Linked DNA regions of Saccharomyces cerevisiae S288C. The protein of the gene in region 1 binds, or shares a complex with, the protein of each later gene. Each region holds a gene or a part of one and is shown on either strand. Other genes may lie near its edges. A codon is read from its position in the direction of its gene.

What was found. Proteins that work in one complex are often made in the same cells at the same time.
Region 2: the proteins of CHS5 (region 1) and ARF1 are in contact, whole or in part, in a crystal structure (PDB 4Q66), measured with the Saccharomyces cerevisiae proteins. Residues at the interface, in NP_013434.1 of Saccharomyces cerevisiae: Thr92 (codon at 2,316), Arg119 (codon at 2,235), Lys133 (codon at 2,193), Ser135 (codon at 2,187), Gly136 (codon at 2,184), Met168 (codon at 2,088), His214 (codon at 1,950), Asn235 (codon at 1,887), Asn236 (codon at 1,884), Ile237 (codon at 1,881), Pro238 (codon at 1,878), Ile254 (codon at 1,830), Val255 (codon at 1,827), Tyr261 (codon at 1,809); in NP_010089.1 of Saccharomyces cerevisiae: Arg73 (codon at 1,776), Asn95 (codon at 1,842), Asp96 (codon at 1,845), Arg97 (codon at 1,848), Ser98 (codon at 1,851), Arg99 (codon at 1,854), Ile100 (codon at 1,857), Pro131 (codon at 1,950), Glu132 (codon at 1,953), Met134 (codon at 1,959), Glu138 (codon at 1,971), Lys142 (codon at 1,983).

Annotation. Positions count from the first base shown.
Region 1 is NC_001144.5:785,816-790,252, reverse strand, and holds CHS5 (Chs5p), read right to left. Parts: upstream 2,590-4,437; coding exon 574-2,589; downstream 1-573. Other genes in the region: REC102 (Rec102p), read right to left, coding at 2,920-3,540, 3,638-3,811; nicotinamide-nucleotide adenylyltransferase NMA1, read right to left, coding at 4,135-4,437. UniProt on the Saccharomyces cerevisiae protein: Component of the CHS5/6 complex which mediates export of specific cargo proteins, including chitin synthase CHS3. Also involved in targeting FUS1 to sites of polarized growth.
Region 2 is NC_001136.10:114,762-117,439, forward strand, and holds ARF1 (Arf family GTPase ARF1), read left to right. Parts: upstream 1-1,559; coding exon 1,560-2,105; downstream 2,106-2,678. Other genes in the region: NUS1 (ditrans,polycis-polyprenyl diphosphate synthase), read left to right, coding at 1-1,038. UniProt on the Saccharomyces cerevisiae protein: GTP-binding protein involved in Golgi vesicle trafficking. May modulate vesicle budding and uncoating within the Golgi apparatus. May recruit the lipid transfer protein VPS13 to Golgi membranes.

The DNA of each region.
Region 1 (4,437 bases):
ATGTCTTTATGTTCTTTATGACTTTGTTAATTTGCAGATTATGAAAGCAAAACGGCAAAAATAACGGGTAAAGATTGATTCAAATCTGAAACAGCAAATTCATTTACCATCCCATCTAACGGTGCTCCTTCTGAATGGCCCAATGCAAACTCCTACAAAAAAATTGCCATTTTTTTGCACAGACCACGCCGCTCAGCCTCGAGAAACATTCCTCGCGGCATTTCCGTGAGATCTCTCAATTAATTTCTTTTTTTAGATTTTTTTCCGTTTTCCGTTTGAATAATTTCGCGTTTTCGTAGAGCGCGACGGCCTATAAATAGACAGATTTTGAATTTCCTTTTCGGGCTTTTAAGATTCACTCCCCAATTTTTAATAACGGACATTTCGTGCTTGGCGGCTACTGAGTACCCCTCTCAAGAAAATGAAGTGATCGCCAAAGCAGTTATCATATTTGTAACTAGTTATACATGCTTACATATACACAGATATATAAAAAATAGATTATATTTGCTGAGGGATTCTCAGTCGAAAAAATAAACGTGCGTCGTGGAACTCATTGAAGGCATCCATTAATCATTTCTTTTTCCCTTTCTTCTTATTCTTCTTATTCTTCTTCTTATTACTGTTGCTGTTGCCAGTATTTTTTTTAGCTTCTTTAGTGGACAAAACGTCATCTGTATTTACTTCGGCTTCCGTTGTCTCTTGTTCTTCCGTGACGGCACTGCTTTCAAGAGAAGCAGAGGCCTCAGTTTTTTGGTGGGTAGTACTCTCACCAGAGGCAGCCTCCTTGGAAACGTTGTTGATATCGTCTTCTGCCTCTGAACCTTTTTCTTCTGGTTTTACATCTTCATTGGATGGCTCGACTGCAACACTTTCGGTAGCATCTTTAGGTTCGGCTTCAAGTTCTATATCTTCTTCTTGATGTCTTGGAGAGGCAATGTCGGTAGTAAACTCGTTGGTTTCTTGTACGGGTTCACCGGCATCCTCCACAGGTTCACTGGTATCTTCCACAGGTTCATTGGCATCCTCCACAGGTTTGTTGGAATCCTCCACAGGTTTGTTGGAATCCTCCACAGGTTTGTTGGAATCCTCCACAGGTTTGTTGGAATCCTTCACAGGTTTGTTGGAATCCTCCACAGGTTCATTGGAATCCTCCGCAGGTTCATTGGCATCTTCTATAGACTCATTTACTTCTGGAGTTTCAATTTCAGCTTCTGGACGTCCAAATTCCATTGCTGCATCATCTGCAGGTTCGTTATTTTCCCCTGCACTTTCTGTGGTTATGTTGTTTTCAGCTACTTCTTCAGTCTGTACAAATCCATTATCAGCTTGTTCGTTAGAATGTGTATCGGTATCCTCACTTTTCTGTCCCGTTGCTTCTTCATTTGGAGAACTTTCAGCCACAGCTTCATTCGGTTCTTCTACCACGGCTTCTGCGGAAGAGTCCGCTTTGTTTTCCTCTATATTGGGAGTACCAACAGGTTCGCTTTTCAAACTTCTTACGGAGGGGTTGACGGTTTCGATGGTGGTTTCATTCTCCAAAGCCGTCGAAGCATGCAATGGATCTTCTACAGGACTTACTGGGGCAGTTTCATGTCCACTCTTTTCTCCTTGTTCCTTAGCTTCTGAAGGATTACTCTCATTGTCATTAGGTGATGCAACCTGTTCGACATCTGTTGTGTCCTCGGGCATCTTATTTTCATCCGCTACTTCGGCTACCGGCTCATTCTCCTTTGAGTACGAAAGTTCTTCCTCATTAACTGGTGGGAATGTGTAGTTTTTCAGTATACTTTGATCTGCATCTAAGTAAAATCCTCTAACACCAACGATTCTTTTCTCAACCTCACAAGCTCTCACCCATTCCGGTCTGACAATTGGTATGTTGTTATGTTTTGCCCTTATAAGCTCTTCATTGCTTTCTTCATTGTCTAGATCGTTACAGACAAAATGCGTAGTATCTATCGCAACATGACGTTGTAAAGGTCTCGCCCCGATGTGAGACAAACATTGGGATATCTGTAAGTCTGAAATTTCTTTCAATGGATCCAATGGACCCAAACATACAGTGATACCAGACATGTCAGTCATCTTATGTGTACGCAATATAACCTTTTCAGACCATAATGTTCCTGACGTGGTTATCAGTTTCAATTGAAATTCGTATGGCGTATCAACGGAAAGACCGGATATTTTCGTGGTAGTCACTTTGAATGGATTTGGAATTACCATTGAACGTATTCCCTTCCTATAAAGGATCAGTGATTTCAATTTTGCTGAGCCAAGTTTCAATGGATCCCATGCTAGAACACAGCTCGTTTGCGTAACGTTAACAATTTTCAAAACTGGGCTCTCCGGTTTATGGGTACCATACTTCTCCAAAATTTTGGCTTGTATACTCTTAAAATGATTCCTTTGTTTTTTTTCCTCCTCTAAATTTTGTGAAACTTGCATTTTTATGATAGATCCAGCTTTAACATTTTCTGGTAATAATACTGTAGGAAACTCAATAACATGATGATCCTGAGTAGTCAGTAACGCCAATGAGGCATCCAACTTACCTACTGTTAACAGTACATCAACTGAAGACATTATTCGCTACTCGACCAGGTTCTAAAACGGAAACGTAACATGCAAGCTAAACCGCGATAACATTTAGCATCTACGCAATAAATAATGAGGCTTTAGAAAGGAGAACTTGAAGGGCCGACCGAACTTGTTAAAAAAGAAGTGCAGCTACATAATTTCCGTCTTAAGTGACATCTTTTTAGTGGTCGACTCGAGGCTACTGGAAGCAATAAGATAAGGATATGGCAATAGCTTATAAACGGTATCATATGAACATAAAGCGCATTGCATAACTATTGTTAACTAAAATTTTAATTGCCCAAAAGTATTTGATTAAATTATATTTTATGCATGCTACTTATTGTACGTTACAGCCGGTAAGGAAAAAATTTGAAAATTCTGAATTGGAGGACCTCTTCTTCGACACAGAATTTGATACGCGGTTGTTGAAGATTTGTCTTGGGCAATCATGTTAAGCATTATTGGAAGAAGTACTGAATTGCTCGTTAGGGCGTAGGATATCGGAGCGAGCGAACTTTGTTGCCACTTCAATCGGAGCCTTGAAATCATGGAGAAGACCATCGGGTATTCAAATTCCAATTGAGACACTATTAAAGAGGAAAAATATTCATTAAAATGAGGAATAACCTGGCTTATTTCGACATAGTTTCCCTCTTTAGAAAAAAAATTGACAGTTGTTGATAACTCGGAAAGGTAATAGATTTCAGGATATCCTTTGGCATGCGTATGAAGCTCTCTGGGTTTGCTTATGAACGTACTTATCTGAGCATCCGTTAAAATTGTACATTTTAAACTGAGAATGACGTGGTTTTCTATGGTGCTTACATCTTGAACTTGATAAAACAGTTGTTCCTCCCAAAAGCGAATACTTGAACCTACAATCTCGCGCAATTTTGTAAACAACTCTTGCTCTTCCGTAACTAATCGATCGTTCATTTTAAAATTCAGTTTAATCTTCACTTTTCCTGGTACGAGTGACAAAGCTACCAGTTATTATAGTTAGTAACGCTTCATTCACGGATGGGTTTTAATTTTGCTAGGAGAAACATACTTTCAACATTCCAGGTGGTAGCAGTGGAATATATAATGAATTAGAGTCGGTTGATTCCGGTCCCTCAATGCGTACGGTTGAAGTCCAAGCAGATAACAATTTTCCTGCCTCATCATTATTTACAGCGCCACAACTTTCTAAAAATACGGTCAAAAATGTGATATCTCTTGCCATTAGATTAAATTTTGAAATGTTGGAATCCAATGGTGAACTAACGTGCTGTTGCGCTTATTTCTTACTGTTTGTTTTCCTTCCATTTTTTATATTTGGTATAACCGCTGAAGGTTATAGAAATTAGCTCTTTAAGAGAAAAAGGCGAAAAAATTAGTGTAAAAGTGAATTATACTACAGAAAAAAAAACTATACTAAAACACAGATAGGTAAGTCATATGTCACATTTCTACTCGCTTGTACCCTCCAATTAATTCCTGTAGGGGAAAATTGGAAATTGTAAAGAGAAAGATGAAAGAAAGAACGAAGCAATTCCGGACGGCAAATCATTCTTTGTTTCCAAGAACTTGCTTAACAGGTTCGGTTTGGTCCACATATAGTCTATGTTCTTGGATATACCTGATGACCGAATTAGGTAACAAATATTGTACAGACATGGCGCGTCTGATAAATAGACGAACTTTCGTGGAAGAAATATCATTATAGATGAGTTGCTTGATGATAAGAATATTCCTTCTATGTTCATACATAATATCATGGGATAACAAAAAAGACCTTACATCAGAACCAGTACGTTCGACAATCAAACAACCGTAATTACCGAGAATGTGATGTAAATCGGCGTCCGC
Region 2 (2,678 bases), on another chromosome or scaffold:
TCTTCCAATCACATCCCACCTCCAGAATCTGGTGTTTTAAAGGGCGGTAAAGTTAATTCAAAAACCAGAGCTTTAAAGGCCGTTACAAGTATCATTGCAGACGCCGATGAGAACCCTCAGAAGAAAGTGAACAATGAGACGAATGGAGTCCAAAAGCAAAAGACAGAAGATTTGAGTAAAAGAATAGGTAAATTTGAATACCTTTTTTACAAGTTTTTACTTGTGTTGTTATACATCTGCTTCGGGTTGTTTCGGTACGGTCAATACCAATATAATAAAATGAAACTAAGAATATTCAGTATCATCTACAACCATGCATATACACCACAGTTGATTAGACAGGACGTTATTCCTCTGAAAAAAATTCCTAAAAGGTTGGCCGCTATCTTGGAAGTCAAGCCAGTTGGCGACGTTGGCGGCGGTGTGACAGGTTTATTAAATGACGCGAGTGAAATTGTTTGCTGGACTGTTTCAGCTGGTATAAAACATTTGATGTTGTACGATTACGATGGAATATTACAAAGAAATGTTCCAGAGCTGAGAATGGAAATTCATTCCAACCTGGCTAAATATTTTGGGCCAGCTCATGTTCCAAACTACGCTGTTAAAATACCTCATTCTAACAAGATATTCTACAATCTAGACGGAATTGAAACCGAGACTGATGTAGGCAATGAGATAGAAGCTAACCAAGAAAAGGACAAAATTGCTATTGAAATTTCTTTATTGTCTAACAGAGATGGTAGAGAAACGATTGTCGATCTGACCAAAACTATGGCTGAGTTATGTGCGGTTAACGAATTGAGCGTTTCTGACATCACAATGGATTTAGTTGATTCAGAACTGAAACAACTAGTTGGACCCGAACCAGATTTACTGTTATACTTCGGGCCTTCGTTGGATTTACAAGGGTTCCCACCTTGGCATATTAGATTAACCGAATTTTATTGGGAAAAAGATAACAACGAAGTCATATATTCGGTTTTCATCCGCGGCCTAAGACAGTACGCAGGATGTAAAGTGAATGTTGGTAAATGATACTTAAGAGCTAAACGAAAAGATAAGTATCTCGCTCAACCTTTTAATTTTGCACAGTTGAATTCTCGTCTGATACTTAAGAAAGTCATTGCCCACATATATAACAGTAGTAATAATGATAATGATAGCAATAGTTTTAAGCTAGCTACTTAGTTGCATTTTTCAATAGTTTAGTAAAAAAAGTCACGCAATAAGCTCTCAAGAAGCCACTAATACCGTAATGATAGCAGTTTATTGTAGAAAAACCATGTTATTACCCTTCCCTTTTTATTTCTTTTCGCGTTGCAAATCACATATAACGAGGTGGCTTGTATTTGTCAAACCAAAAAAAAAAATGAAAATCGAAAAATGGAAAAACAGAGAGAGAAACGGAATCTTTGACACGTTCTCGATCCACTTGTTTATCGAGGTGGTTTTTATAAGTCTTACTAGATAGAAAGTTCATTTTGTTTTGAAACTTTTTGGAACCTCTGGCATTGAAGGTATAAGAAAGAACTCAAACAGGTTTAATAGAATTAAAAATGGGTTTGTTTGCCTCTAAGTTGTTCAGTAACCTTTTTGGTAACAAAGAAATGCGTATTCTTATGGTTGGTCTTGATGGTGCTGGTAAGACCACCGTTTTGTACAAGTTGAAATTGGGTGAAGTTATCACTACCATTCCAACAATTGGTTTCAACGTTGAAACTGTCCAATATAAGAACATTTCATTCACTGTCTGGGATGTCGGTGGACAAGACAGAATTAGATCTCTATGGAGACACTACTACAGAAACACTGAAGGTGTTATCTTTGTTGTCGATTCTAACGATAGATCGCGTATTGGTGAAGCTAGAGAAGTTATGCAAAGAATGTTGAACGAAGATGAATTGAGAAACGCCGCTTGGTTGGTGTTCGCTAACAAGCAAGATTTGCCAGAAGCCATGTCTGCTGCTGAAATCACTGAAAAACTAGGTTTACATTCTATTAGAAACCGTCCATGGTTTATCCAAGCCACGTGTGCTACCTCCGGTGAAGGTTTGTATGAAGGTTTGGAATGGTTAAGTAACAGTTTGAAAAACTCAACTTAAAAATTCTAGAATATGGATCAAATACGCTTGTATAAACTAAATGAAACATAAAGATTAAGAACTTAAGAGGCCAACGTCGATGGATTTATTGACGATCACCAGCCAACACATATAGATTTTAGTGTAAAAGCAATAAAAACCAAGATAATAAAATAAAAAAATACTGAAGAAGCCTAACTAGTATAAACTACTTTAACTAATAATGGCAATTTGATATAGAAACAAAGAAACATGATATATTTAGGATATTATACAACGCATTTTCATTTGTTTTACAGCACCCCTGCGTGAATCATATATTGACGTTTCGCTCTCAGGTCCACCGTGTTCTCAAAAGATACTTTTAAAACCTAAAACACACGAAATCATATTATGATAATTCAGAATGATAGTGTGGTACTGTGTCAATTGACTGTTCAAGACTGAAGAGGATCTTTGATTTGTTGTTACTCAACAAATAATCTTCACGAAAACTTTCTCAATCTGGGGACTGTATTAATCTCAGACCCATACATATCTACACCCATAACTTTTTACATTTAATTTTTTATCACATAATAGGTAGCTTAAATT